4 linked regions of the Caenorhabditis elegans genome follow. The protein of the gene in region 1 purifies or fractionates together with the protein of each later gene. This does not show direct contact. Each region holds a gene or a part of one and is shown on either strand. Other genes may lie near its edges. The genes, in order: pas-1, lonp-1, rpn-9 and rpn-13.

Region 1 (6,363 bases):
CTCGATCGTCGAGAGTTCTATGACTTCTCAAAATTCATTCCCCACAGCGTGAGTTTTATTCAATTAACTATTCTAATAACTTGATGATATCCAGTGTAATCCAACATGCAATGTTCGTTTGGTTGAATCAGGAAACGACATTCCTGATCTCGTGATTTACTCACGTTTTCCCCTCGACGAAGGCAATGGATATGTGATCACCCTTGATTATTTCAAGGCTTTCAAAAAAGAGGTTGAGGAATACTTCTCAAAGGTTGTTGCTCCAGGTACGTTCTTGATAATTAGTTTTCCTAGATAAATGTCCTCATTCAGACGGCAAACTCTTCCATCTCCTCGAGAAGGATATCGACTTCGTGCAGTGCAAATGTGAGCACAAGTGCCGAGAGATTGTATATATCGACCAGTCAGCGAAGAAGAAGTCCGAGAAGGAGAAACTGACGTCGACGTTCAATGGCATGTCTCTGGTAGAGTCACCAAAAATCTGGAAGATAAAAAATGGTAATTTCCTCGAGTGAAACTCGCTGTAAAATGTTTTCAACTAGTTTTGTTTTTCGTTTTGTTATGTATTACATATTTATTCATTCAATGAAATTTTAATTTTAAATACTTGAATATAAAGCCTTTGTTAAAGTTTACAATGGGATTGATATGAATTCTTAATAGAGAAATTATTGTAGCTGCGCTGGCACATTACTTGGCGAGGCCAGTACATTCCAAGCTATAATTGTACAAATCCTGACAGGCCTGATCATCCAAGGCTAGTGGGTTTTCTTGGGTCAACTTGCAATCGGCAAAGTATTTTCCACTGATTCCACCGATCTTTTTGCCCAATGCAAGGAAGATTGAAGTTTGAGCTCCGTCGCGGCTGGTTTTCATGAGGAACCAACTGAAATTAATTTTATTTATTTTAAGGTTAAGTGTGGAAATTTGGCTTGGCTTACCGGAAAACAGCTGTAATCTGCTTGATTCCTGGTGTATTCAAAATGGTATTTCTCGCGAGCTCGGTATTAACAACTCCTGGGTGCAGGGAGTTAACAGTCACGTGTTCGGCTCCGTCCTTTCTCAATTCCTTAGTCAAGGCTCTTGCGTGCATAACATTTGCCAACTTGCTCTGTCTGTACGATTTCATCATTCCAAACGATTTCTTGTCATCTACAGTAGCCAAATTAATTTTCTCGGATTTCAAATGAATACGAGATGAAACATTGATGATTCGAGCGTAGGAAGACTTCTTAACAGCTGGCAGAAAAAGTTCGGTGAGCAGAAATGGTCCCAAATGGTTGCTCTGCCAAGTTTTCTCATGACCATCCTTGGTTTGCTCGTGTTTGCTTTGAAACATGATTCCAGCATTATTGATAAGGATATCAATGGTGTCAGTCGATTCGAGAGTTTCCTTGGCAGCTCGTCGTACACTTTCAAAATCTGTCAAATCACATTCAATGAAGTGAAGACGAGTGGCATCGCATCCTTGTCTCACGAGCATTCGTTTCGCTTCATTGGCTTTCTCTTCGCTTCTGCACAGCATATAGACCTGGAAAAAATTAGATTATTCTTGATAACTTAAATATGGATAGCATTGTTTAGAAACAAATGCAATTTATGTAATTAGTAATTAGCAATTAATTATAACAATGCAATTAGTTCTGTAACTCACATCAGCTTTCCTCAAATTAAGTTCCCGAACTGTCTCGAATCCAATTCCACAATTAGAACCGGTCACAACGGCTACTAATCCCTTTGCAGAGACTCTTTCATTGAATTGACCTCCTTTAAAGTAACGTCTGAAATATTTTAGATTATAGTTTTAGCTATCGTGAAATATCGATTACCTTGTGAAAAAGAGCACAATAAAAACTACGGATGAAGCGAGCACAAAAAAGAGGAATCCTCCATGTTCTTCAGCATCTGCACCATCCATTTTAATAGATGGTCTGTTAAAACTTTGAATGTATAATTTTTTTAACTTGCAGTTTTCTTCAATGAATTCGTACTAAAAAATAAATAACAGGGATTGCGAAACCACCATCAAAGTCAACATGAATAATATGAAGTGTTTCAAAAATCATTTTATCATGATTTTTAGTGATAAATAAATAGTTTCAAAAGAGAAAGGGGCGGAGGGCAATGATAAAAAAGACCGAGAAACAGGGAGTAAAGAAAACAATAAATAAATTTAGAAAAGGGAAACCAGGTATTTAATTCAATTTGGGTACCGGATCAATTGAAACGGGAAATATTTAAATACAAAGGTCGATGAATATTTAATCTCGGTTGGCGATTTGATTGAGATGATGTTCGACCTGATCGCTGGTTAGCTTGGTGAATTTGGAGTTATCCTTGGTGACAACGACAACCTCAAGATCCTTGGAACGAACGTCGATTCCCAATGAAGTCTGAAGAGCCTCAATGGCGAGTTCAATAGCTTCTGTGGATGTCAATTCGGACTTCTTCTTAATTTTCTTTTCCAAGAATGAGGTCGCTGGAAGTTGTTTCACTCCAACAGATACTCCTTTCATACCACGGTAGTATCCAGCGGGGTCAACACGATAAACTTCTGGTCCTTTCTCGTCATCGTAGGAAATGAACAAAAGAGCTGAAATTGAGTAATTGTAATAATTGAAGTTAGAGAATTCGGAAATTTTTCTACTAACCACATCCCAAACTACGCATCTCCGCATTTTGTGTGTAATACTGGTTGAGATCAGCCATCTTTTTGGCGAGAAGCTCGCATGGCATATCGTAGCCGTTCTTGTACTTCCAGCTAGCAGCTTCTCCCTGTGCACGCTTGATTTGGAATTTAGCATCCGGGATCATTCCAATGGCGCAGCATCCAACAGACTGAGAGATTTGATAAACCGAAGTGACGGTATCAGCGACGATGAGACTGTCTGGAACACGCTTTTGAACGGCAATGACAGCTGCATCAGCTCCCTTGACTGCGACAGCCGTCAGATTGGTAGAGTTGATTGCTTTGAAGGCATACTCGACCTGGAAGCAAGCATGGAAAGTTATAAACATTCAACTATTATTTTATAACCTGATAAACACGTCCTTCTGGAGAGAAGATGGTAATATGACGATCGAATCCGGCGCTGCTTCCACGAGACATCTAAACATAAATTTTAAAGTGGAAATCAACCATTAATTTGAAAACCGATAAAGATAGGAAATCTGGTTATTGACCAGTGTACCAATAAAATGAAAAAAAAAACGAATAAAAAGAAACTTAATGGAATATTCAGGAAACAAAAACAAAAATTCAACAATATATAACAACAGAAATAAAAATCTGATTTGAAAAATAAAGACTCGAAAGGTTATCAAGAATATTCGATATCCTTCTTCTTGCATTTCAGGCATGTATAGAATACTGTTTGTCCTTCATCTGCAGATCTCGTTTGCATAGTAGAATATGATGCCTTTGAGTGACCGCACCTTAAAGTTGGAAATTAGTTTCAGTCTTTCTCAGTTTCAAAATCCCCGGAAATATTCTTACTTTGTGCAAATATGATCAACAACAGCATCCGCTGACTCGTCATTTTCAATTCCATCTGTATCAGCAACCGTTCGTTCGTAGATCTTTTCGACACGGCTAACCACTTGATCTACTCTTTCTGAAAACATTTTAAAATTAGAATATATTCATCTTAAAAGCAGGAAACCTTTCACAGCCCATCGAGTTGAGCATACTTTGCAGGAGACCGTCGCTGGAGCCTGTGCCGGTAGTTCCAAGATGGCGCCGCAATATCCACAAAAGTCATCGTCGTATGAGAGGAAGTTCAAAGCCATTTTAAGCTGAATTAATGAAGTTTCGACTAAAATATATTGTTGAAGGTTGAAAAATGATGAGAACGCCGAAAAGATGACAAAATTTAAAGGGAGTGCGATGGAGCACGCTTGGAAATTGAGACACTACCGATTTGTGACTTTCGAAGAAACAGATTGCTGAGTAAATGGGAACAGCACTTTACTAGTTGAGAAAATATTAAGTCTTGACAGGCAAATTGTTAAATGATCTAAAATCACTTATCTTGGTTTGAAAGATGGCCGAGTTGCTGGATCTGGCAAAGAAAACTCCGCCTATTAATTTCATAGATTTGAAAATCGCGAATCAATGTTGGCTTTCTTACATTCAGAGAAAAAAAAAACATGCCAGAGAAAAATAATTGGGATTATATAAAACTCTGAACAAATTTAATAAAATAACCTATCCCAGGTAAATTCACAATCGAGAACTAAAACATCATTTCATGAAGAAAAGTAACATTTTCTACTTAACAGAACATTTATTTATTGAATGTTAAAATTTGATGAATAAAAAAGAAAGTAACAAAAAAAATAAACGAATCAAAATCAACAAATTTGAATAAAAAACAAGAACATAGATTATCCCTTTCTTGCTTTGGCCTTGTTGGCTCCCTTCTTTCCAGCACCACCAGTACCCTTCTTCTTGCCGTCGACCTTGTTTTTGAACCACTGTTGTCTGTGAATCTGACTCTTCTGTCTTGTTTGATCTTTAGCACCTTTCCTCTCCGATTTTTCCTTCTTCCTGAAATTAATTGAATTGAATAACGATAAAGGCCTAATTTTCTCACTACTCACTCTCTCAAAGGTCCAGCAACTGCAGCAGCCTTTTCTTCAACAATCTTTGCTTTCTTTGACTTCATTCGTTGAAGAATCTGGAGAGCACGTTCTTTCTCGCCAGAAACTGGAGCTTCGTTGGCTTCGAACTTTCTCTTCTTGCCAGTTTTCACGTTGGCCTTCTCTCCCTTCAATCCTTCCTGGAACTTTCCAGCGGAAGCTGTGGCAAGCTTTGCACGATCCACTGCGAAACGAACTTGTTGCTTTGATTTTTCCTTGGCATCGACTCCTACTCCGATCATCTTTTCTGTCGATGGACCGCTCTTGACTGTTGTCTTCATCTGACGAGCAAGATTCTTCATTCTCTGCATATCGTTCTTTGCAACTCTCTCCTTCTTCTTTTCGCGTCTCTCAGCAAAGAAATCCTTGTTCGGATCTTCTGCGTTGTCAGGAATTTCGATCAGCCAATCCTTGGTATCATCATTTCCACGTCTGTATCCATAGGTCGGTTTCCATTCCTTTGTCGCTTCATCGAACACCTTCTTATCCTTCTTTCTCTTCTCAATTCCCTTTTCAGCAGCATATTTCTCCCATTTCGTCGGCTCTTTTTTCTCTGGCAATCGTTTCTCACGAGGAAGACGGTAAGTGGCGGGAGGGAGAGTAACAATAATAGCCTCTTCTACTCTTTTTTGCTCCAGCTGCCAGATGTTGTTGAAAAGGAGTTGTGTGTTCTTCCTAGCACGTTCCTCGAGTCCTTCACTGAAAAATTATGAAATTTGCTGGTTTAATTAATAACGAAATTCTATAATATACCTTGCGTCTCCTTGGATTGGCTCTCGATCAATAAACAGCAGGTTACCCAAGTCAATGATTGGGTCAATGGCCTTTTCAACCTCCGTCGATTTGTCAGCCATTTCTCTGTAACATTAAAGTATTAACTGAAACTACTGAAAGTAGAAAAACGCTGCAACTGAACGGGAAAGACAGTGCGAATGTATTATAGAAACAGCTTTTCAGAACTGAAGCTTAAACAGCAATCGGCACCAATTTTCGTATAACTGTTATAAAGAAAATCAAAACTTTAACCGAAATCTAATTTTTCTGACTAATTTTAACAGGTAAATCATTTGAAAAGAGAACTGAAAGAGCTGAAAACGAAAAATAAAACAAAGGAAATAAGGGCGTGGCTTCTATTGCAAGTGGTGCGCGTGGTTTTTGCAACGCCACCGCACGCATTTTTCTTTTATTGTAGTTTTCGTCATCTCTCACAAAATACGAAGAAAATGTGAGCACATTATGTAAAGTAAAACAAACCACTACAAGCTTTTAATTAAAAAATAAATTACATTTAAAATTAGTAGAATCAGACCATCAGAGAGAACATAACGTCTGAAAGCGGATCTCTGTGAGTAATGTGGGTATTTTCCTGATTAAATGATTTCAAGAACCTCGATTAATCTGAAAACTCTTATGAAACTATCTTTCATAGGTTAAAATGCTTGAGGCTCAAAAATTTCCCTTTTTCGGTAATTATCCAGCGCCCTTTATAAATAAAAATGAAGAAAATTCTCTGTTCCAGCTCAAATTTCCAATGAGAAATATAGAAACAATACACCATATACATAGTTAGTAATTTTGATGATTTGGATCCCTAACATATTTCTCAAAGATACAAATGTCATCATGGAGCATACATTCCACCGCAGAAGGCAGCTCAATTATTAAATTTTATTGGGTATTGTTTACTCCTAACCGGGTGGTCCATAAAATTCTATTGTCCCA
Region 2 (10,810 bases), on another chromosome or scaffold:
CGACACTCCGAACTACACAGAAATCTACGGACTTCTCACCAACGCGATTCTCTTCAGTGGCAAAAATGTATGTCTTTCACACAATAAAAGTGTTATCATTTATCATAATTACAGGAATTCCCGTACGATTGGGAGGAGGCTGAGATCAACGAGTTCAAGAATCCGCAGAAGCCAAGTGTGGAGCAGGCAACCTAATAGCTCTCTTTCTATGGAAATAAATTGACTTTTTTGAATATTCAAAGTGTTTTTATATCTTATAACGTTATTCCATAAACTCCCAGTACAATACATCTACAGAACTAGAGAAAAGAGAGTTCAAAGATCAGAGATCAAACTACATATGAACAGAACGAAACTGCATTTTATATGTAGTTACATTGTAGTAAACGATATAATTTCATTTCAAAAGATGAGTTATCATATATTTAGGAATGACCCTTTTGTAGATCCCCTCCATCCCTGATACGGTAGCCTTAAAGTTTCGATCTTTTCGAGACCAGAGAACATTTTAGTGTGAGCGATTAAAATTTCACGAATACAAATAGAAATGTTCATTTTAATCTTTAAAATCACGAAATTGAAAGCAAGAAGACTATTAACCGGAATGCAGATAGAAAATGTACAGAAAATTCAAAGAATGTCGGCCAATTATGCATTTTCCTCTTCTTTCTTTTCCTGACTTGCACCTTCTTGTTTATTCGTAGCACCTTTCATTTGAACCGAAAATCCTCCATTTCCATTCGGGACCATCTCAAAACTGTCTGTCGAGAGCCCAAACGGCGATAGACAGAAATTTCCGAAACCCTTCAGTTTTTCCATCACATCGGCTTTCATCGCCTCATTTCGATTATTAATTTTCTCATTGATTTCAGCGATTTTCCGATCAAGTTCGACGCGGCGTTTTGGAAGAGATTCCTGGAAAAAGTTTACTTCTAATTTCAAAAAGAAATCTACCAAAATCGATACCTGTAACTGTTTATAATCTTCAATAGAATTCTCATACTTTTCTGACATATTCGAGTATGCAAACGCCCGTCGTTCCAGTGCTTTCTCGTTGGTTGCTCCAATCTGAAAATTGATTTTATTTGTTTCAAGCTAACTAGCTAATAGTAAGTCGCAAAATTTTGCTATCTAAGGGTCTCAACACGAAAACCGTTTGTTAAATGCAAAAGGACGCCTTTTGAGGATTACTGTAGTTTCCAACTATAGGAGCCGGGTTTTCGATTTATGAGAAATTAGTTTTCCGACATTTCGATTTTTTTTTAATTTTTTGAAAAATATCTTAAAATTTTGCCAATTTTTCCTCTTGTAGAAGATAATTATGTGTTTCCTGATGTTTTTTTCGTAAAAGTAAACAAAATTTGATAAAGAAAAGGATTTTTTTGTCAATTTTCAAAACCCTTTTCTTTTTGATTTTCAGGAAAAATGAAAATCGAAATTTTTGTTGGAAATTTCAGAAATACTTAAAGCTGCAAACTTTTATTCATTTTAACGCCAAATTTTAGTGACAAGGCCGTATTTTGTGGTCGAAATTGGGAAAATTTCGCGTCTGTGTAATATTTCATGCTCTCTTCAGTACCTCAATTGATTTCGACGCAGCTTCCACAGCAGATTCCCATTTTCTTAACTTGATAAGTGCAGCTGCTGAATTTGAAAGAAGAATCGATTGTACTTCTGTGGATGTTGGAGGGCACGAGGCAATGGCTTCCTGGAAAAATTTCAATTGTATACTGTCGAAATAGACCGATCAAGCCGTTAATTTTGCAAGTCTGCGGCGCGTTGTATGCATGTAGATTTACGAAGAATTTTGTACTACACTCGGACAAGTGGGGATTTTTTTTGAGATGATTGTGTAGTTTTCAGCTAAAATTCTTGTTTGTAATTTTTCGATATTTTTAAAAATCAAAATTTTTGTTTTTCAAATTATTGTTTTCTTTACTATAAAATTATATGAAAATTGAATTAATACTTGTCCACGTGTAGTACAAAATCCTGCGTAAATCGACAAGCTTCAAACCGCGCCGCACGTTTGCAAAACATTCCAATACCTGATATTTTTCATTCGCCTTTTCGAATTCTCCATTCGCAAAGAAATTATTTCCTTCTTTTTTCAATGAATCCACTTTTGTTATCTGATCCTCTTCATCCTCGAAAATTTCTTCGATAATTGCCATTTCTAAAGCTGAAAATAATGGTTTTTAAATAAAGAGAATATTATTTAGAATTTAAATGAAAAATATTTGAAAAGATCAAACAACTTGAGATTATTAAAATTAAAAAAAAAACAAAAATAAAAGTAGGAAAATGTTTATAGCCTGAACTTTTTTCTTTTCAAAACGTTTTTAAAATAACAAAACAAGAAAAAATGGATTAGGTGAATCAACAAAATCTATCTGAAAGGTATTAACTGGGGGTGAAAGAAAGGGACACGTATTATTGGAAGAGATGCTCGTAGAGCTCATCATAATGCGAAACGAATCGAATATCCAACTCTGATTTCATGAATTCTGGTAAATCATCAAAGTCTCGACGATTCTCATTTGGAAGGAAGACTCGTTTTGCTCCGACACGGCGAGCCTGAAAAAAAATGAAATTTTTGAACGAAAAAAGAACAGAGGACCCACCGCGATCACTTTTTCCCGAATTCCACCAACTGGCAGCACTTTTCCGGTTAATGAAATTTCACCAGTCATCGCCATGTCCTGCACAACAGGTCGGTCTAAAGCGAGTGAAAGAAGACTTGAGACAAGAGTTACTCCTGCAGATGGTCCGTCTTTTGGTGTTGCTCCCTAGAAAAATGGAATTGGTTAGTTGAAATTATTTCAAGATTAAGCTCACTTCGGGTACATGAATATGAATATGTGCTTTATCGAAGAATTTGTTATCGGGTTGCTCTCTTGCAAGAATTCCTTTTGCAACAGTCAACGCTGTTCGAACACTTTCTTTCATTACATCTCCTAAATTTCCAGTTGTTTCAATACTTCCATCCTTATCATTTGTCAAATCAACAGGTCGTTTCAATACAGTTTCAATATAAAGTGCAGATCCACCCATTGCTGTCCATGCGAGACCCATTATCACCTGAACGGAACGTGAATTAAGTTTTTAAAACAGTTTTTTCGCTTACTCCAGGCGGTGTTACTTCATACATTCGATCTGATGTGAATTTGGGTCTTCCAACGAACTTTTGCAAGTTTTCTGTGCAAACTACAATTTGTTCGGCTGAAGATTTTAAACAATCTGCAGATGATGTAGAGGTGATTGGTTCGGCTTCTGAGTTTTCAGTGATAGCAGTTGTTGCTTTTTCGGCTGGCTCCTCATCCTCGTTTTGTTGTTCAGCAATTTGAAGAGCTGCTTTACGGAAAATCTGGAAAAAAAAGGTAATTTCTATAAGCAATCTAAATATAATTGTCGAAACAGAACAATCAACTCGAGGCGCGGATCTGAGACCCGAAGAACTCGGGGGATGTCCAATTGGGGGATTACCAACTCGGGGGATTGGCCCCGCCCACAGAACCGTGGCTTGCAATACGCCCATTTCTGCAACTGCCGCACGGTTTAAAAATTATTTTTTCTTGTTAATTCTCGCTCTATTGAGAAAAATACAGTTTTAAAACCGTGCGGCAGTTGCAGAAATGGGCGTATTGCAAGCCACGGTTATGTGGGCGGGGCCAATCCCCCGAGTTGGTAATCCCCCCAATTGGACATCCCCCGAGTTCTTCGGGTCTCGCGGATCGTCCTGTTTTTACCAAAACATACTCTTTCAATATGTTGCTGTAAATTTCTGACTCCAGATTCACGACAGTAATGCTTAATGAGCTCTTCCAACGCAGAATCTTCAATTTTCAGTTGTTCTGTGGCGAGAGATGTGTCTTTTCTGAGTTGAGGAATGAGATGTTGATGAGCAATTTCAACTTTTTCCTCGGCTAAATAACCGCTAACATCAATCATTTCCATTCGATCACGAAGTGGTCCCGGGATTTTTGAAATCTCGTTTGCCGTGCAAATGAACAAAACTCTGAAAATTAGAAATAAAATTATAGAACCAAGAGGAGAAGCATCTTCAAACCTAGACAAATCAACTGGAACATCCAAGAAATGATCATTAAAATTCGCATTTTGTTCTGGATCAAGAAGTTCCAAAAGTGCCGATGCGGGATCTCCATGGAATCCAGCTCCGCCGATTTTGTCGACTTCATCGATAAGAACAAGAGGATTCTCAGTTTTCACTTTCTTCATGCATTGAATCATTTTTCCAGGCATTGCACCGACATATGTACGACGATGTCCCTTGATTTCTGCCACATCAGTCATTCCACCAACTGAGAAACGGAAATACTGCAAATGTTAGATTTAATTTTAACAAGAGAAAGTTTAGGAAAAAAAACTGAACCTCTCGATTCAAGGCAGTCGCAATTGATTTCGCAATAGAAGTTTTTCCAACTCCAGGTGGTCCATGGAAGCATAGAATCTTTCCACCAATTGATTTTCGAAGTAAATTGACTGCAATAAACTCCATAATTCGTTCTTTAACATCTTTCATTCCATAATGTCCTTCATCAAGAGCTTTCTTTGCAACTGAAAGACGACGATTCTCGGGTGATGTAAGTCCCCAGGGTACTGATGTCAACCATTCCAGGTAGTTTCTGAAAAAAAACGGAACTCAATTTTTTTTTTGCTTTAAAACATTTAAAATAGTCTGACATTCAGGAAAAAATGCACTTAAAAATGATATTTTTCAGTTTTGAATTTCTTTCAAAACGAGAACTGTAAGACCAATCGGCGAACCAATCAAAAGGAGTGGGCGGAGTTCCTGGTCGTCGATCCTGTAGTTCTCATTTTGAAGAAAATTAAAATAAATAGATTAACCAAAAGTGAATAATAGAAATTTAGAAAGTTGGAGTTTTCGTTTAATTTTAAACAATTTTTTGGGGTTTTAATAAAAAAGTTTAAAATTTCTGAACTATTATTTTTTTTTATATTCCGGAAAATTGAAATTTTTTTAAATTGAAATGTCGAATTGTCAACTTTTCGATAAAAAAAAACATTTCAATTTTTCACGACATCCAGGAGCTGGTTTCTGAACACTTCATAAACAATCCGGAAGCTTTTGGAGAAATTTTGATTTTTGGAAAAAGAATTCGAAAAAAAATTCGATTGGAAAATTGGAAAAAAGTTTACTTTTCCGAGCATTTTTAGCCTTTTAAATGCATATATATATTTTTCTATAAAACTAATATAATTTTCAATATCTACCTCGTGACACTAAATTCACTGGAATGCGGATCCAAAAACTGCAACTTTGTCTTTTCTTCGTTAATAACTTTCAATGCATATTCTGGAACTGCCAATGTTTTGATTCTTTCATCAATTTTCTCAATAATAGTCGTCTTCTCATCCTTTTCAATTCCCAACTCCTTTTTGATTACTTTCAATTGCTCATTGAGCAAGTATTTCCTATGATGATCCTGAACCTTCTTCTCAACATCTTTATTGATATCATACTTCAATTTGGCAACTGCTTTCTCCTTTTGAATCAGAAGAAGAGCAATTTTGAGTCGCTTTGAAACCTAAAAAAATAATATAATTATTTTCATTTAAAAAAATTTAAATTTAAATTTACATCAATTTCATCCATCATTTCCTGAAGATCTTTTGTTTCTGCAGATTGTACAAGAGTTGCAACAAGATCACATAGATAAACTGGATTATCGATTACATTTTGAGATGGATGAAGTAGAAGATTGATTTGTTGACCGAAGAGTTGATTGAATTGTACTACATCTCTGAAATAATATTTGAATTTAGGAAATTGGAAACTCATAAAATCAAAAAATAACTTTCGGAATCAAGGTTTTTTTCAATTTGCAGGGGAAAAAATGCAAATTTTCTATATTTTTTTCTCGAAATATACACAGTTTTTGTTGAATTTATAGTTTTATCCTTTTTTCAATAATTTTACTACAATCTTTTTCGTTTTTTTTTTCGATTTTACTTTTGGCCATTGTAAAATACATAACATTTTGCAGATTATTTCCGTATTTTCGATTCAAAATGATTAATATACATTTTATTGTACCCGGTCGCATTTCTCCTGTTATTCAAAAAAGTGTGCGCCTTTAAAGATTACTTTAATTTCAAACTATTGTTTTTTTCGGAATTTTCGTCGATTTCTCATAGCTTTTCACACAATACACACAAGTTTTTTATAAATGTAATGACACAGATTTTATTTTCGAACTTTGCGATTTTTTTTTAATCTTATGTATATAATTTTCAACGAGAATTTATGATAATCGATGAAAATTTCCGAGCAACGAATATTTGAAGTTACAGTACTCTTCAAAGGGATATATCCTTTTTAGATTACAATAAGTTTGTCGTGTCGAGACCGGGTATCGTAATATTGAGGTACAAATGGCTAAATAATCGCAACTTGATATTACCGAATCGTCTGCACAATGGCCATCATCGTAGCCTTCGTTTCATTATTCTTGGGCACTGGCTCTGCAACAACATTCTCGGTTCGAACCATAATAATTCCTTTTTTCTGTTTTTCTCCAGTTGCTGATGGTGGTGTTGTCTTCTCTTCTTTCTCTTCTGTTGCTGAAATTTCTGGAGCCACTGAAGCCACTGAAGGTGCAAGTGGAGGTGGTGATGGTGGTGGAGTGAGTGGTGATGTTGCTGATGCTGCACGCTTTCCACGAGCACGTCTTCCATTCAATGGAGTCTCATTTTTCGGTGTAATTTCGTCAATTGGTTCAAGAGCACGAATTCTTCGATGAGCACTGAGTACCAGCTCAAGAACACTTCCCTGATCACGGACTTCGATAATTTGAACGAAAGAACCAGTTGGGTAGACTTCTGATAGAGATGTGATCGTTTCTTCTTTGTTTCTGGAAAAAAATATACTAATTTGCGCGGGAATTCAAAAATAATTCAGCAATTTTAATCCATTTTTTGTTGCAAAATTGAAAAAAATACAAAACAATTTTGAAAAAGTGTATAAATTTTTTAGAAGTTATAGTCGGTATATAGAAGATTGATTTTTTTCTGTTATTTGATGATTCCAATAACAAAAATGGTTCCAAATCAAAAATATCAGGCAAAAACTGTAAAAGCATTTCCTCGGGGAGTACACGAGCTCCGTATATCAACACATGACTAGTTTTTCGGCGATTGTTCCATTTTTAAGTCAAGAAGAGATCCATTCAAAAACTACATACTCATCGTCTCTCTTCACAAAAACTCCAGCATACGGCTGTTTCAGTGAAAGCTGTCGCCTGATCAGTGCTTTTAAATTGTCATCTTTCACGATCTGAAATTTTAATTTTCAGTTTTCCGCCAAATACGTTATCTAATCTCACATCAACTTTCTTGATAAATCCTGGAAATAGTGGATATCGATTGATAGCTAACATTGGGACATTTGGCATATCGGCTGGCACTTGAATCGGTGACATTCCTCCCTGAAAATCAATTAAAATCGTCTTTTAATGACTGAAATTCTAAAAAACTTACCAAATCTTTGTACAGTTCCAATGAGTCATCCACAGCGATTGGATCGTCATGAGTGGAATAAAACCTCCTTTCTCCTGAATTTCCTGCTAATTCCATAGATTTCATCATTAAAATCGATTGATTTCTTTGAGAAAATGTGGCAAAGCTTTGATGTGCTGAAGCAGCGGCAAGAAGCCGCGTGCGAGTTGCCCCGCGGAGTAAAACCGCTCCAGCGCGGTACATTTCTGTTGAACGGGGAGTAGGATAGGAGGATTCAAGACTTCAGAATAAAAAAGTAAAATGTGTCGCATTAAAACGTCAATAAAATATTAAAATCGTTGTAGATTGAAAATGAATTTATTATGGTTCAGAAGATGATTCTTATATCACACAGAAAAATGAAGAAGAGCTCATAAATAATTTAATTTAAAATAAATATTTGACCAGATCCCGAGTAAAACGTTTTTCTTTAGTTTTTGCATCATTGCCGATTTATTTCGTCTTCTTTGTCTCCTTTTTCTTGTCTCCAGATTCTTGTGGTTCCGCAGGTGTGTGCCACTGAAAATTAAAACATTTTATACGATTTCTGTAACTTTTTCTCACCACAATCGGGTTCTTTCTGAAGAGGAATGGCCATGGTGGAAGAATGATGAGAGCTGTGAACGCAGATGCTCCCAGCACTGTGAACATGGCATATGAAAGCTGTTGAGTCCAGAATCCAACGAGGAAGCCAATAATTCCAGCAATAGTGAGGATTACCTAAATTTTATTGCTTTATTTTATGTAATTTCAGTCAATCAATTGTGGTTTGTTACCTGGTAAGTTCTCTCGGCGACTTTCTGTCCTTGAAAATCAATATGCGACGATAGTTTCTGCAGTGGAGCAGGGAGCATTGCAATCATTCCGTCCATGGTTAATTATGTAATAATTAAAAATCAAATTCAGTTATAAAAATACAAAAAGATTAAAGCAAAACGAATTCGGAATAATTTTGTTCCAACACTCCTTCATACAATGACGTAAAATAGAGATTTTCCATGGAGCGCACTTGCACATTTCATATTTTGAAGAACATTTGCAAATATTTGTGGATTGAAAACCAGAAATAAATCTTAAATAAGCTTAAATTGATATATTATTAAATTCAATAAACTTTATTCTAATCAGGAAACAAATAAATTTCACACAAAAGAAAAAAACATACAGCTCGAACACAATTATGTGAACAAAGAAGAACAAAACAACGAATTAATACGATCGGACCTTTGGTGGAACCCAGTCGGTTTCAGATTTATCGAGAGTTTTGTCGATAACTGGGCGGTATGTCAAATCAACAGCTCCAGTTTTCGTATCGATACCGATGATGGAATGCTTGCGCCAGTGCTGATCAAACGGTTTTTTCTGCTGTCCCTCAAGTGGATTGCTGTAGTCATATTCGTCAATTCTTTCTTGGAAATCATCACGAGCGTGGGCTCCACGAGATTCAGTGCGATTTTCGGCGGCGACGATGGTTTGATTGGCGTTGATAAGCAAATTCTGAAGCTCGAGAGTTTCGACAAGCTCCGAATTCCATACTTTTCCAGAGTCGGCACACGCCTTCAAATTTTGTTGCTCTTTGTAGATGGAGGACATTTTATCGACTCCTTCCTGAAAATATCCAATATTTTTTGAAAATAGAATAAATCTGTATTTACTTACCTTCAAAAGATCGCCCCGTCTGAAAACAGCAGCATGTTTCTGCATTGTCATTTGCATCTTTTGTCTTAATTCGATAGATGAAATATCTCCTTTTGAGTGCAAAAGTCCGTTCAAATTGTCACACGATTTCTCTTCACAATTTACCGGAAGCTCCGGGATTGAATCTCCTGGTTTGTTCTCATTAAGGATACTGAAATCTTTAGTTTAAACCTGTTCAGATAAATGAAACTAACGTGAGAGCGCAAGATCTTCCAAAGATAACCAAATCTAGAAGGGAATTTGCTCCGAGACGATTTGCTCCATGAACTGAATGTGCTGCACATTCACCAGCGGCATAGAGTCCTGGAATCACTTTATCTCCTCCTTCAGGTGTGAAATCGAGAACTTGTCCCTTGTAATTCGTAGGAACTCCTCCCATGTTGTAGTGAACAGTTGGAATGACTGGAATCGGCTCTTTGGTTACATCCACACCAGCAAAGATTTGAGCGGTTTCCGAGATTCCTGAAAGAAAATTATTAACAATTGAAAACACTAATATCACGTACCTGGCAATCGTTGTTGAAGCTGTTCAGCTGGAAGATGATGCAATTGAAGGTAAATATGATCTTTGTTTGGTCCGACTCCTCTTCCTTCATTAATTTCCATAGTCATGGCTCTTGAAACAACATCTCTTGACGCTAAATCCTTGGCATTCGGTGCATATCTTTCCATAAATCGTTCTCCTTGCGAATTGACCAAATATCCACCCTCTCCTCGTGATCCTTCGGTGATCAAACATCCAACTCCGTAGATTCCAGTTGGATGGAATTGAACAAACTCCATATCAGAATTACGAATACCTGCACGAGCGGTAAGAGCGGTTCCATCACCAGTACAAGTGTGAGCAGATGTACACGAGAAGTAAGCTCTTCCATAGCCTCCGGTGGCGAGGACAGTGTTCTTTGCGCGGAAACGATGAATCTGTCCAGTTTCAATGTCCAGTGCAACGACGCCAATGCATTTTCCCTTATCCATAATCAAATCCAAAGCGAAATACTCGACAAAATAATTACAGTCGTATTGAAGAGATGCACCGTAGAGGGTATGAAGAAGTGAGTGTCCAGTTCTATCGGCCACACAGCAAGTACGGTGAGCCTGTCCTCCACGACCGAAATCATTAGATTGACCTCCAAAAGCCCGTTGATAAATTTTTCCGTCTGTTGTACGCGAGAAAGGCATTCCTGCAAGAAAATTGTTGTTTTTTAATGTTAGAGAATCTTATTGACCGTAATTTTCAAGTTCAATAATAGCTCTTTCGGCTTCTCGAGTCATATAGTGAATCGCGTCTTGATCTCCAAGCCAATCGGACCCTTTTACAGTGTCGTAGAAGTGCCAGCGCCAGTTATCTGGATTCATATTTCCCAAAGCGGCGTTCACACCTAAAAATCAAAATTTAAATTCTGTTCGTATACTTTGAGCGGCTCACCTCCTTGAGCCGCGACTGTGTGCGATCTTGTGGGGAAAAGCTTCGTAATGACGGCAGTTTTCATTCCACCTTCGGAGAGTCCCATCGCAGCTCTCAAACCGGCTCCTCCTGCTCCCACAACAACCGCGTCAAAAGTGTGATCAACGA
Region 3 (6,755 bases), on another chromosome or scaffold:
GCCAGCCGATACTGTGATACTCTCGGAACATCCGATGAATTCTTCGATGGATCAAGCCCCGACTTGACCATCCACCATCCGATGCCTCCCTGAGCCAGCAAAAGTGTGGTGGCCAGTGCCATTCGTCGCTTCATATCCGGTGCGAATCGGCCACGAGCCCAGAAATAGGCGCACGGGATCAGGAAAACGATACCGATGGCGCGTCCCCACATTCGATGGCCATATTCCATTGACCAAATGAATTTGAACTCGTTTAGTGTCATCTCTTCGCTTGAGGATTTGCTGAAAATTAACGTTTTTATTTTCAATTTGAATTCCAGACGATTTTCTGCCACAAAATACGGTATCCGGTCTCGACACGACAATTTTTGTTTCATGAGAAAAGGTGTGCACCTTTAAAGAGAACTGTAATTTGAAACTTTCGTTGCGACGGAATTTTTATTGATTTTTCATAGTTTGCAAATGATTTAATCAAAAAACTATTTATGAAAAATCAACGAAAATTTCACAGCACCGTAATTTTGAAATTACAGTACTCTTCAAAGACGCACGCCGTTTCTCATTTAACGAAAATTGTCGCGGTGAGACCTGGTACCGTAGTTTTGGCGCAAAATTTGGTGTCTTTTTTATCTTACTATTTATATTCTGGATAAGCTTTATATTTCTCAAATTCCTCTTCCCATTGCTTCTGTCCGAATGGCGGTTTCATCGTTCTGAACAGATCCCAGTTCACCATGCTCAGTCCTGATTCGGTTAATCTGAAATTTTATATTTAGTTGAAAAAATACATTAATAAGCACCTGGTGACTCCTCCAAGCGCCACAGCACCGTAGCACATTCCAGCACATCCCATAAGCCACCATCCGATGCGTTTTCTGGATTTGTCGTCGACATCTTTCACCGATATTCCAAAGTTTCTTCGGAATCCTTGCCTCACATTCTGGATTCCTTGGCTCAACAGAGAAACTCTTGGAAGTTGGGAGAACTTGGTCAGCTGTTTGCTGGCTAGCAGCCACATGGCTTCTAAATTTTTGGAACCTGACAACTGTCTGTTGTTGTGATATCTAAAGATCTCTAGGGTGATTATTCTTCCGCTTTTCTATAAATTTCAAACTTTCCGAATAACCAGACCATTTTTCATTGGGAGAATCGATAAGAAAAGAAGGAAAAACGGTATTTCGGTGGAACACAGTAAAGTAACGGGTAGTTGACGGAAGACACTGAAAGATCATGAGCAAACGGGGCTCCATGCGGAGAAAAAAGACAATTAACAGCAAACAATGATAACGAGGGGGAAAAAAAGAACACTAATCTATCTACGAAATATGCTAATTGCGAAACTGTTATTAGGCTTATGGAGCGGTGGGTAAATTATTGGAAATAATTTTGATGATAATGCGATACTTATTAATGGTTGACATTGTGTCCTTCAGTTGGTGGAATCGGCAGGCTCGGTGTGAATCCAAGTGTCTCGAATTTGAATCTCCAATAAGCAACAACCATTCGATCCCAGATGTTTCCAATATCATTCACGGCCGGTCGAACATCAAGAATAGTGAAAAGCTTTGAGCTTGGATCCACAGCACCACCATCGTAGTAGTCAATGACGTACTGAACTTGCTTGGTTCCGCATCTATCAACAATCCAATCGTGACGATCGAATGGGAGATCGTATCCGAGGAACAAGTTGCGGAAACGAGCTCTTGGCGATAGGTTCTTGGCATCTCCTTTGAAGCTTTTCAGTTTCGGCTCTGCGCATTCCCTGAAATTATAAATTATTCAGATGTTGGAATTTTCATGAGCTTACGGATGAAGAAGATTCTCCCATTTCAACACCTCTCTCCATGCCTCCTCGTTGTTAGCGTTATGGATGCTGATAATGTTTTCCATGTCGCTTTTGCTCAGCGAGTCATCTTGCCATCTCCATCCTTTTCTGAAATTCAAATTTAAAATCAACAATAAACATTTATCAATCAAAAACTCACTTCAGCATGGCGTTCCAGAACATTTGGGGACTTGGATAGGTCCAGGTTTCAGTTTCTGTTCCAGCTTTCGGGATTGTAGACTTCTCTCGTTTCGTTGGAAGTGCGAATGGCTGATCTGGGGCTGGCTTTTGATTTGGATGTTCGAGCTCCTGAATTTTCAAAGTTGGCTTCAGAAAACTCTATTTTGAACTCACATTGTTGAGTGGATTGATAGAAGCCTTGTCAGCACCAACCGGGCAAGCGCCACCAGCTCCACAATTCTCTCCAGATGCAGCAGCTCTCTGTTCAGGTGTTAATGGGCATTGAGATCCTCCTCCAGCAGCAGCCATGCTGTGTTGAGCCTTACGAATTCTCTCAGCATCGGCGTTGGCATCTTGCACCTGAAAATAAATTCATACGTGTTTTCTTTTAACTGAAATTATAGAAAACTCACCTTTGGCGTCGATTGTGAAGAGCCCATGATGTAATTTTATCTGAAAACTAAACTATAGTTGGGGAAATGACGGTTAAATAGGCAGGTGGCGCACGGAAATGATGAAACTAGAGAAAAAAGGCCTTAAAAATAAACTACGCGTCATACGGGCCGCGTAACTACGGAGTGTCGTTGCAAACTTACGTTTCAAAAAATTTTCAGCACAAAATCGAGTTCAAAAAGAGAAAAGTTATGGAATAAACCATAAGTTTTGCAAGAATTAAAAGATGAGAAGGTAAGGGTGTATAATTTATCAGTCAATGTGAAGAAAAAAATAGACAGCATGACTAGACAATGGAGAGTGAGAAAAAGTTATTTATGCATCATATCGAGCAACTCGATTATAAATAGTACAGATCGTAGATAAAAACCAACTGAAGCTTCACAATTTTCCACATTTAGGCGACGCTAAATCCAATCAGCATCCCAGCTGCGAATCCGCCAAGAATCCACCGGTATTCGGAGACAAATGAATCGGAAATGTTGATAACTTTCTTGCCGGATACTCTGAAAAATTGAATAATATACGATTTTCGTTTTATTCTATTTTTTTTTCGTAAAATTCAAGCTTACTTGTTCATGACGGACTTGTGTAGATTTTTCATGTCTCGTTCGATTTTTGATTCGTTCAGCGTGATGTATCCTTTGTGAATAGCGAATTGAGCCAACAGGAAAGAGATTCCCACTGTGGCAGCAACAAGACGTCCTCCCTGAAAATATTTAAAAATTAAATATTTCTCTAGAACCACCAATTTTAAATACCTTGGTGACAAAATATCCAGTCACTGTCCCGAATCCAGCACCAACACCCAGCTGGACCATCGGCTGCTGCTTTTTCAGATCAACAACGTAGTAGAGGACTGTATCGATGGCATCACTCACACCTTTTCCGGCTTTTCCACTGCCTCCGTCGTTTTTTGAAAGATCAACCATGGCTGGAACAATCACAGTACTACATTACTCGAAGACGAAGAGAACCCGAATGTTAAGTATTGAAAAGTACTAGTGAACTATTGACACGGTGTTAGTCACATCTGACATCGAGAAAATTCAATATATTCACAGTCGATTAATTTATGAATTCAAATAAATACACACAGAAAGAAGACTGAACGATCTTGAAATTGTAGAATACACGTAGCAGTGTAATTATAAAAATAGAGGATTCCGGGATTGGGATGGGGGAGCATGGAGAAAATAAATTAAAGAAATGAGATGATTTAATTTTGAGTGAGAATCTCGCGTGCCTCTTTGCTGACGATTCCTTCCATGGAGTTGACATCGTTCCTCCATGCGGAAATGCGAGTCGCCATTTGCATTATCTGAAAAAAAGAAAATAAGTATTTTAAAAACTTATAATCAATTCTTATACCTGAGGATTATCTAAAACTCTTGGCTGCACCCATGTCACGTAGACAACTTGCTCAACTTGATTGATATCTCCACGAATGAGATCCTTGCTCAACGCCTTCATCACCAAGAACTCAACTTCGTCGAATGGGATCTGGCACTTCGTGGCGATTTCTTTGAATGAAACGCTTCTGGCTTTGGTTGGACGAGAGACTGCAAGTTCCATGACAGCCATCAGACGGATTTTGGCAGTCAGGAAATCCTTTTGCTTCTTCAAATCGTCCCAGCCTCCCCAATCTCCTTCGAGCGAGAAGAAGCGCGTCAAATCTCCCGAATTGAAGGCAAGAAGCACGTCCACGATCCAGCGTTCACGAGTTCCTTCGAGCGATTTGAGGATGGGGTGAGCAAGCTGAAAAAACCGTTTATTGGGGGAATTTAAATTGAGAGTTTCAACAAACCAATTCTCCGAAGTTGTGCACGTTTTCTCCCAGAAGAGCAGCGAAACCGAGAAGAACCGCATGGACTTGCTTCTGTTCTGTTGTCAGATTATTGGCGTCCTCAACTCCAAGATAACGAAGAGCTTCGCGATAATATCCAGCGAAGTCTCCAACTTCACGAAGATATAAAGATGAGACGCGGTAGAACGGGGCATGAACTTCTGTAACTCCGACAAGTGAGTCCACTTCGTGTTGTGTCGAATCGATTTGAGTTCGAATGCTCTTCAGATCAATAATCTGTCCATTTTTGTCCTTGTTCTCCAGTCTGGCTTCAATCTCTCCGGTATGAAGTCGAGCAACGGCAATCTTGTCCTTGTTGATGACGTTTCCAATTTTTGACAGGAATTCCATAGATTTTTGCTTGTCCTTTGTCGCGATATTTTGGGCGATCGAAATGCAAATCTCGACGAGCTGAAGAGGGTTGACACGCAGCTCCCACTCCGCCACGAACAGTCTGTAGAATTCGTGCATGTCCGTTGAAGCCACAAATTGTGGCTTCTTCACAAGGGATCGTGTCAGAACCGTTAGTTGATGCCAGAGCCTGAAAATTAGTGAAATAGTTTGTGTCTACAAAAACAATTGATTCTTACTTTTTCTCCCAGAGCTCCTTGAGATTCTTCCAGTCATCGGCCAGAGGTCCATTGGCAGCCGCCAGCTTTCCGTTGAGGTAGTCTTGAGCAGTCATCCTGAGAAATTCTCGATACATTAAAAATTGAGACGAGAAATGAGTGAAGAAGAAAGAAAATGAAGGAGTAGGAGCAATCAAAACAAAAATGGATTTCGAATAGCTAAAATGAACATTTTTGGCGAGCGCGCTCTCACAAAAATCAAAACAAAAAACTTTTTTTGAATTTTATTTGTCAGCAATTAAAGGCGCATGGCCTTTCACTTTGGAAATATCGAGACGCGAAAGACAATGTTTTCGGTCACGGCCATATGTCTGCGTCTACAGTCTCTTCAACATATGCGATAGGGCGCGCTTGCAACAATTTATTTTTCTTAATTTATTTTATTGTTTTTTAACAGAAGATATTGTTTTTAAAGTGCGAACACCCTTCTCGATTTATCCGCCAGCTGGCAACACAGCTTTTCAGGTTTTCCTTCCAGATTTGTGTGTTTTCTTCTTGGTTTATAGCGAAATCTGATAAAAATCGCAACTCTGAATAAAAATTATGTCAAACAAAGGCGTTGCTGTAAAATTGTGTCCATCCAATAGATTTTCCTCGCTTATTCTCGTATTATCTTTTTTCTTGATTTGCAAAAAAATGATCCAAGTATTTCGAAATTTCTGAAAATTCCGTGTTGTTACACGTCACATATCCTATCATTCGTTTTCTTCATTATCATCTTTTCTCCCTTTCACTGCAACGCTTCAAAATTAATCTCTGGTGCTTCGTTCTTATCTTCCGGTACTATTTCAATGTTCATACTACTTTCTATTGATTACTCGTTCAAAATTCCTAATTGTTAGTTTCTTTTTTCAGATGATCTCTCGATTTACAACGAGTTTCCTTTTATGGATGCTTCTGGTGTTCACAGTGGTATTCTTCGAAACTTCTGGTAAGTTTTTCTTTTGATTATTTGTTTCAATAATACAAATGAATTTCAGCGGCCTCTGACAAAGTTCTTCTTCGCGATGTATCAGCAATTACTCTACACAAAGGAAAAATGACGACAGGACGACGAGTTTCTCCAACCTTCCAGTTGAAGTGTGTCGGTGGATCCGCGAAAGGTGCCTTCACCCCAAAGGTGGTTCAGTGTGCAAATCAAGGTTTTGATGGTTCGGATGTGCAGTGGAGATGTGATGCAGATTTGCCACATGATATGGAATTCGGATCCGTTAGTTTTTTAAATATTTCCATCTCGCTTCAAAAAATGTTTCTTGTTTCAGATCAGTGTTTCATGTGAAGGATACGATTACGCAGAGGATCCATACATCCTGAGAGGATCTTGCGGGTTGGAGTATGAGCTCGAGTACAATTCTGCGAGCGGTAACAGATCAGTTTCTCGAAAGTCATCCCAGGATCGATGGGATCAGTTCGCCACGTTCGTCGTCGTCGCCTTCATCGCCTACATTATCTACGCGATGTGGACTAACAGAAATCAGAACCCAGAAAGCTCTGGCTACACTTCTGGTGGATCAGGAGGTCCTGGAGGCCCAGGATCCGGCGGAGGAGGTGGTGGTCCAGGTGGTTATCCAAGTGCTCCTCCACCATATGACGACTACTCCAAGCCACCGCCATATGGGTTCCGTGGTGACTCGCAATCTGGAGGTGGATGGTAAGGAATTTTAAATAAAAATGACCTTATTTTCATTAAAATTAAGTTTTTCAGTCAGGGAAGTTCTAGCGGAGGAGCAAGTGGCAGTGGCGCCAACAATGGTGGATCGTTTTGGACTGGAGCAAGTCTAGGAGCCATTGGAGGATACCTGGCATCCAGCTTCCTCAACAA
Region 4 (6,896 bases), on another chromosome or scaffold:
TTTGGCCTATTTAAAAATTAGGTCATGACCTATTTTTAATTTCACCTATTTAAAAATTAGGTCATGACCTATTTTTTTATTTGACCTATTTAAAAATTTGGTCATGGCCTACTTGTTGATGAAAAGTTTCAAAAAATTTCAGAAAAAATTCAAAAAATTTCCGAAAAAATTTCCGAAAAAAATTCTAAAAATTTCCGAAAAATTTCAAAAAATTTCCGAAAAAAATTCTAAAAATTTCCGAAAAAAATTCAAAAAATTTCCGAGTTGTAGCCTACTGGGTTTAATATTTTGTTTTTTGTCTCTTCGGGGTTCTATTCATTTTACACCCATTTTAGAACATTATTCTCTGCTGTTTTTCCAGTGTTTTCTTAAACAATAAAAACCATTGCGTGAAGCATTGTTGGGTTACTGTAATGTTAGGGAAAGTTTTTTTCCTTCTTTCGAACAGTTTTAGTAAAAACAAAAACTTTATATAACATAAATAAATAGCAATAATTGAATGGATTGGACTGATTTAGATTCTACAAAATAACGTCGAGAAATTACTGAGATTTGGCTTCTCTTTCCTTCTTTCTGAGAGCAGCAGCACGAGTTCCGACACTCATATTTGTGAGGATCTTGTCGCGGATGAATGTTGGAATGAGATCCATGAGCTCGAGTTGAAGTTGATGCGTGATGTATCCGGTGGTGTCTGAGGTATTTCCAACAGTGTTCAGAGCTGATTTAGCGAACACGGCTCCGTCTGGAGTGAAGAATGAAGTTCTCTTGACTTTTGACATCTTTGTGGCGACCATCATTGGAGCAATAGTTTGGACAGTGATTCCTTGATGTTCATATTCTTTTCGGAGGATAGCGGTGAGCCAGGAGACATACTTCTGGAATAAAATTATAATTAAAAGACGGAAGATATTTTGAAATTCAAACCTTTGTAGCTGAATACACAGCCCAGAGAGCCATTTGATTTGCTCCAGCTGAAGATCCAACATTAACAATGACTCCAGCCTTTCGTGCGACCATTTGTGGAAGGATTCCGGCGGAGAGCTGAGTTAAGAACTTTTTCAGTAAGATCACAATAGTACAATTCTAATAAAACTCACCAATGTTGGTGGAAGAGTGTTGATGGTGGTGATGTTTGCAAGACGCTCGATTCCACCGTCAACTTTGTGAAGTACATCTGGATATTCGTAGCTCATTCCAACGTTGTTAATAAGAACTCCGATCTCTACTTGGTTCAAGGTGGCGAGAAGATCTTTGTAAGCAGAAGGAGCAGCGTTGGTGAAGTCGAAGGCGGCAGTGCGGACCTCAATGCTGGAATACTTCTCGAGAATCTCCTTCTTCGTCTCATCGAGTTTTGATTGGGTACGCGAAACGAGCAGGACATTGAATCCACGACGAGCCAATTCGAAGGCGTATGCTTTTCCGATTCCGTCAGTGGCTCCGGTGACAACTGAAAAATGTATTTTTTGTTTGAAATTCAAAACAATTATTTTATATTTACGCAACAATTTTTTCATTGCAATTTTATTATCAATTGAAAATGATAACAGTTCCAGAGAACCAAAAGTAGTTCTCTGAGTGCTATACGATAAGACATCACCAGAGTAAAAATATAGAAACGAACCAGCCCAAGAAGCTCCAGCTCTTTTCTTCAAATCGATTGGCGACAGAAGAACGTATGGGCCCAAAATATTCGAGAAAATCGTCAAAAGACGATAAGCCACAGCTGCAAGAGCCACGTATCCGGCTCCAACCAAGAAGCACTGGCAAGCCATGTTACCTGGAATTTACAGAATTTCAATGGAAATAACAGGCAGAAAAGATGCAAGGTGCATAAATTATACACTATTTATTTACCGTTTTCAAGATTATCTATATCATGTAAATTGTCAGACGACTCCATTATTTCTTGTAACTATTTATTTATGACGAAAACATATGAAAACTAAAAATTTTCATGAGGTCACGTTTTTACTTTTTTGAAACTCATGCACTCCAATAAACTTTGAAAAATATAAAACTAATCGCTACTATTACGAGTTCTTTCCGAAACTTTCAAATTGATGGTAAAAAGGGTTTATTTGCAGTACTTTACAATGAATAAATAAGTTCTCGAAATGGAATAAAAATGGGGACGTCTTGAAGGTCGAATAAATGAAAGAGAGCGAAGAGAAGTGGTCGATAAACATCGCTCTACTATCTTATCACACCATTTCTGGCATGATGAAGAAATACTAAAGGGACGAGTCGGAAAAAGAGGAACACGGAGAACACAGTTTAAGGGGGAATATGCACAAAAGTGATGAAGAATTTGTTTATTCAGAGAGTTTAATCGACATCCATATCTTCGTTGTCTGGACGGTTGCGCTTTGGCTCTGGTTCGCGAGTGGCGTCATCGTCCGAGTTTTCTGCAAACAATTAACAATGGTTATTGATGTTTTTATCAAAAGTACAGAGGTTTACGGTACTGTAAAAATTGTTTTTGAAATAGCAAATGGATAGGTGTTAAGTGTTAAGAGCAGCAAAATTTTACAAGGAATGGCGCAATGGTCATAGTGCGAAAGGAAACAAAAGGACAATCACAATTAGTGACATATTCAAAAATGAGTAAAAACTCAACAACTGAGAGTGCGCCGTACCTAGCCGAGACACCGTTGCCGCAATTGAGGGGGAAAAGAAGCCGAGATAAGCGGACGGCATCACAGCTCTCCGGCAGATCGGGTTATCAACCCGTGCTGAACGAACGTGAGACTATGTTTCAGAATTTCAAGTAAACTTACGAGTCTTGGCAGCATCTTCTCCTCCCTCAGCCTTTGTGAGATTAGCAGCAAAACCACGAATATCACCTTGATTCGCGGAGCCAACTGTGGCTTCATCCATTCCGAACTGTGCAACTACTGGCCCGAGTTGACCAGTTTGAAGTGCATGTCCAAGTGTATCAGCAGCCTGAAAATAGAGAACAGTTAAAATATAATATGCTTTAAAAACCAACTTGTCTGAATTGCGGAGTTCTGACTGTCTCAGAAAGCTCCCGGGCTGGATCATCAGAAGTTGGAAGATGCGGTGCGAGCTCTTCAGCGTGGTTACGAGCAACTTCAGCAACCGTTTCATTCGACAGAGCAGTTGCCAGAGAGACTGCCACCTCTTTCTTTTGTGAGCGTCCCAAGTTGTTGAAGATTTGTTGAATCGCCGGGTTATTCAAGGAAAGTGGATTTGAAGATCCTTCCTCAGCTGCATTCGTCGAAGGCTCGCAGTCTGCTTCTGACGATGCGTCCTCTCCTCGAGGCACGGAAGAAATTGGAAGAGTGTCAGAGTTTCCGCCTTGCAGAGATTGAATCAATGACATCAATTGCCCTTGATCGATGCCTCCAAGGGGAGCATTCATGTCTGAGCTAGAGATAAGTGATCCTCCAGCAGACTGACGATCAGTGTTTGCGTTAGAACCAGCCGATCGGGAAGCAGCTGGACGAGATGTCGGCGGCTTGTTCAGAGCGTCAGTGACCTTCTTCACAAGATCCTTGTCAACGTCTGGTGTTGAATCTTGAATCCAAAAAAGCTTCATATCTCCAGATTTGAACTTGAGCATATACACTTTGCCATCAGGGCATCCAGGAACAGCTTTGAATTCAGCGTCATCGGGGAAGATTATGAGGTCATCAACAACTGCGCCAGTTTCACGATCCTTCCAGCAAAAGTGGATGAGCATGTCGTTACTTTGCTTAATGAATACCAATCCCTTTTTGGGTTCAGCAACAACTTTTCTCATAGTATCTCCGGATCCAGCTTCAAGGCGAGAGCGTCCAGCTTTGAATTCGACAATATGGCCAGAAGAGGAAGCGACCGAGCGAGTATTACTGAACATAGCAGCCATCTCTGAAATAAATAAATGAATGTTTGATAAGGAAGCTGAAAATACCAAGATGAAAAAATAGAGAACAAACTTGCAAAATTACGAGGAATGAATATCACAAATAAACTGAAGTATTGATAATTGATTTGGAAAGTAACATGTCGGACAGAAACAAATTATTTCCCGTCAAAAAAAATTAAATTCAAATAACTAGTAAAAATATAATGTCTTTTTTAATATTTAAAAGATAACTCGAATTGAAGAAACAATTGTTAACAATATTGTTCCAAATTTGGCTAAAAAAGGATGACTTTTCTCGTGGTGCATTTGCTCGTGGTGTTCAGTGCTTGCGTACAAAACGCTGTTTCCGAATGCACACCGTACATGCGATATTTTGTCACGTTTTGTGTTCTATTTTTCTGTATTTAACTTGTCCTCCGCTCGTTTTAAGACGAATTTGCCTCATTATTTTTTTACCCAATATCTTAAAAATCAAACCACTTTATTCAATACATTATTTTGACAAAATCGGTCTCTGCAAAATTTGAGAATGCCAATTACCGATTAGTATTAGTATTTTTAAAACAAATTCACTGGGTATACACGATGAGTATTAAAACATATTAGTTTAGTTGTCAATATCATCCAGTTCAAAGCTGTTTTTGCTCTTTTTCTTCATCTCCTGAGCCTCCTTCATCTGAGAGAATGGCCCACTTGCCGAACCAAGTGAGGTCTTGCTTTCCTTTGATTTCAATGTTTTCGTTTTACCCGTCTTCATAGTGGTCGAGTCGGTTGTGATGTCAACTTAAAAAGTAATTTTAGATGTCTACGTGACTTTTTTTTAAAGATCTACCGATGTTGCGCATCATAGTTGCTGCCTCAAAGATCCCGAGACCAACATTTTGGGGACTTCCTAGTCCTGGAGATTCCAAACTATTGCTCCGCTGCGAGGAAATCGTTTCCTTCTCTTTCTCCACACCACCCTTTCCTACATTCAGCGACATCGTTGACGGTTTTTGGTCGCTTTTCTTGATAGATTTTCTTTTCTAAAATTTCAGATAATCAACTATTTTTTCAACAAATTAAAAATTGACTTACCGGGTTCTTGGTCTCCATCTCCGACATGTACTCTGATAGATTGATGATTTTATGAACACTTTTCCTTCGGTTTAACTCACTTTTGTCGTTTTTTGCCTGATCCGATAGTTTCAGATCACGAGTTTTTGCATCCAGGTCATCGAAGATCAATTCTCCATTCTTCTCGGTTCTCTGGAACATTTTTTTCTGATTGAAATTCGTAACCTTGTCGGGTAACGGTTCGTTTTTGAATACAGATAAGAACAAACCTTTGCTTCTTCCTGCTTCTTCTTATGCTCGCTGAACATGGTGTTAGCCGTTAGATGGTGTAGTTTGTAGCAAGTGGCTGAAGCAAAATTGAATAAACCTTTTCTCACGATATTGAGAAAAATAATTAAATCTGAATGCTCAGCTCTAATTTTTTTGTAAAAAATTTATTTGATCAGAATAAGAAGTGATACGCGACTACCAAGAATAGAAGAAAAAATGAAGGGGCGAACGAGTTATGTGTTGAACGCCACAAATTAAATGGAGAACACTAATTTGTACTCGAATTTTGCTTTCCCGTTGACTCATGACAGTGGGAAAATGGGTGGGAGTTTTTCATGAAACTACACGAGATTTATGATAGAAGTTTAAAAAATAATGTCCTACTCAGTCTGAAAAACATTCAGAAAATTTTGGTGATTTTTTTAAATAAGAAATTGTCCAACAAAAAAGACTTTACGAGGATGCAAATATACGAAAGAAGCCTGTCTCGTTTAAAATTACTATTGGGTTCTTTTCAATATTTATATTTTTAAGTCCTTCTAGGGTCATGGAATGTGGCTTTGAAGACTCTTGTCATTCTCTTCCTGGATTGATCGTGGGAAGACCCACAAGAATAAGCCCGTTCTCAAACTTGAATTAAGAAAATTTTAAAGCAGAATGGGATAACCCGAAAAAATTTCAGTAGCTCAAACTGAAAAGCTAATCAGTCCTCGTCGTCGTCAAGAAGTAGCCGTGTGAGTGATTGGTTCAGCTTCTTCGGATAAGCGCTTGTTTGCCGGCGTGGGAGTCAACGGAGCCATAATCAAATTCTCGGATTTTTATTGGAGCTCCTTCACCGACGATTTCCATGGTAACTGACTTATTGTGAGAAATAGGAAAGAAAATCTGGCAAAGGATATACATAAAAACAGAAAAAATGAGGAGAAGCAGCAGTCTGAAAATCGCACTTCTTGGTAGGGGTTAAGGTAATGTAGAGACGTGGGAGATTGAGGAAAAAGTAGATAAATTTTTTCAGGTTTTCATTGTTATATGTCCAATTAGAGTGTGCAATACTTCTTATTCTGGTGCAATATAATAACTGAATCTTAAAATATAATACCGTACTCCGCCTAAACCGACACAGGTAAATGAAAAAATCCTTCTAAATAAAAATCCGATTATTTCCATGTTCCTTTTCTTACTTCATGTTTTATTTTTTAAATTCAAACTTTAGGAATTTAATCAGAATATTTAAATTCATAACTTTAATTTTTAAAACAACTCGAAGTTCTTTTCGCGAGAGATATTATTCCGAGAATTCTCTAAAATAATCTTAATTTTAGAAATCGTATCAGTTTAAATAGTTTAGGTAAATACGATAAAATTGTATAGTTGTCCTCCAACATTCAGTTTTTAAAGAAACCGACAACAACATAATTCCCACCACGTGATCTTGTTTGCGTGAGAATTTTCTCTTAACACATTTATTGTCAACAATTTATTTTTTATTTTCAACGTGAATTTGATCATTCAAAAATCGATCGATAGACATTTTATTTCAATAATTTTCAAGCGTTCGTGTAAATAAGTAAACAGAGTCAGTTTTGCGTGATCATTTCCCATCCGATTCAAGAAAAAATTGTTTGCCAAAGTTCTCACGCTTGACTACGGTAAGTTTTTGTGTGCAATCTGCCGTCGAATCGAATGTTTACACCATCTGCCC

The links.
Region 2: the proteins of pas-1 (region 1) and lonp-1 fractionate together in Caenorhabditis elegans (co-fractionation; one large-scale study listed by BioGRID). This does not show direct contact.
Region 3: the proteins of pas-1 (region 1) and rpn-9 fractionate together in Caenorhabditis elegans (co-fractionation; one large-scale study listed by BioGRID). This does not show direct contact.
Region 4: the proteins of pas-1 (region 1) and rpn-13 fractionate together in Caenorhabditis elegans (co-fractionation; one large-scale study listed by BioGRID). This does not show direct contact.

The regions. Positions count from the first base shown.
Region 1 is NC_003283.11:14,419,510-14,425,872, forward strand, and holds pas-1 (Proteasome subunit alpha type-6), read right to left. Parts: upstream 3,110-6,363; coding exon 3,038-3,109; intron 2,989-3,037; coding exon 2,652-2,988; intron 2,594-2,651; coding exon 2,262-2,593; 3' UTR 2,057-2,261; downstream 1-2,056. Other genes in the region: set-31 (SET domain-containing protein), read left to right, coding at 1-48, 95-266, 313-515; dhs-22 (DeHydrogenases, Short chain), read right to left, coding at 691-886, 942-1,531, 1,655-1,781, 1,830-1,918; rpoa-12 (DNA-directed RNA polymerase subunit), read right to left, coding at 3,321-3,435, 3,497-3,614, 3,663-3,789; rrsr-1 (Ribosome biogenesis regulatory protein homolog), read right to left, coding at 4,387-4,549, 4,603-5,340, 5,395-5,495. UniProt on the Caenorhabditis elegans protein: The proteasome is a multicatalytic proteinase complex which is characterized by its ability to cleave peptides with Arg, Phe, Tyr, Leu, and Glu adjacent to the leaving group at neutral or slightly basic pH.
Region 2 is NC_003279.8:10,674,630-10,685,439, forward strand, and holds lonp-1 (Lon protease homolog, mitochondrial), read right to left. Parts: upstream 7,746-10,810; 5' UTR 7,744-7,745; coding exon 7,522-7,743; intron 7,470-7,521; coding exon 7,368-7,469; intron 7,319-7,367; coding exon 7,227-7,318; intron 6,897-7,226; coding exon 6,447-6,896; intron 5,787-6,446; coding exon 5,624-5,786; intron 5,571-5,623; coding exon 5,257-5,570; intron 4,647-5,256; coding exon 4,394-4,646; intron 4,339-4,393; coding exon 4,070-4,338; intron 4,019-4,069; coding exon 3,760-4,018; intron 3,368-3,759; coding exon 3,128-3,367; intron 3,082-3,127; coding exon 2,839-3,081; intron 2,790-2,838; coding exon 2,625-2,789; intron 2,578-2,624; coding exon 2,434-2,577; 3' UTR 2,293-2,433; downstream 1-2,292. Other genes in the region: C34B2.3 (Protein kinase domain-containing protein), read left to right, coding at 1-67, 115-195; ttc-1 (TPR_REGION domain-containing protein), read right to left, coding at 649-915, 967-1,068, 1,580-1,708, 2,049-2,174; spcs-1 (Signal peptidase complex subunit 1), read right to left, coding at 7,993-8,058, 8,104-8,259, 8,316-8,411; sdha-2 (Succinate dehydrogenase [ubiquinone] flavoprotein subunit, mitochondrial), read right to left, coding at 8,749-9,147, 9,199-9,388, 9,432-9,699, 9,744-10,418, 10,464-10,616, 10,664-10,810. UniProt on the Caenorhabditis elegans protein: ATP-dependent serine protease that mediates the selective degradation of misfolded, unassembled or oxidatively damaged polypeptides as well as certain short-lived regulatory proteins in the mitochondrial matrix.
Region 3 is NC_003280.10:11,233,930-11,240,684, forward strand, and holds rpn-9 (26S proteasome non-ATPase regulatory subunit 13), read right to left. Parts: upstream 4,991-6,755; 5' UTR 4,990-4,990; coding exon 4,895-4,989; intron 4,846-4,894; coding exon 4,266-4,845; intron 4,217-4,265; coding exon 3,830-4,216; intron 3,780-3,829; coding exon 3,678-3,779; 3' UTR 3,518-3,677; downstream 1-3,517. Other genes in the region: cox-15 (EOG090X04TT), read right to left, coding at 1-282, 636-758, 801-1,018; cchl-1 (putative holocytochrome-c-type synthase), read right to left, coding at 1,408-1,762, 1,808-1,933, 1,986-2,134, 2,180-2,365, 2,419-2,445; FUN14 domain-containing protein fndc-1, read right to left, coding at 2,856-2,964, 3,031-3,167, 3,220-3,390; T06D8.9 (Store-operated calcium entry-associated regulatory factor), read left to right, coding at 5,789-5,864, 5,914-6,143, 6,196-6,584, 6,639-6,755.
Region 4 is NC_003281.10:6,338,056-6,344,951, forward strand, and holds rpn-13 (Proteasomal ubiquitin receptor ADRM1 homolog), read right to left. Parts: upstream 3,874-6,896; 5' UTR 3,869-3,873; coding exon 2,990-3,868; intron 2,944-2,989; coding exon 2,778-2,943; intron 2,733-2,777; coding exon 2,637-2,732; intron 2,406-2,636; coding exon 2,326-2,405; 3' UTR 2,058-2,325; downstream 1-2,057. Other genes in the region: Very-long-chain 3-oxooacyl-coA reductase let-767, read right to left, coding at 543-875, 925-1,053, 1,098-1,447, 1,622-1,777, 1,855-1,900; C56G2.9 (DUF4604 domain-containing protein), read right to left, coding at 4,476-4,651, 4,701-4,893, 4,946-4,977, 5,026-5,116, 5,194-5,232. UniProt on the Caenorhabditis elegans protein: May function as a proteasomal ubiquitin receptor. May promote the deubiquitinating activity associated with the 26S proteasome.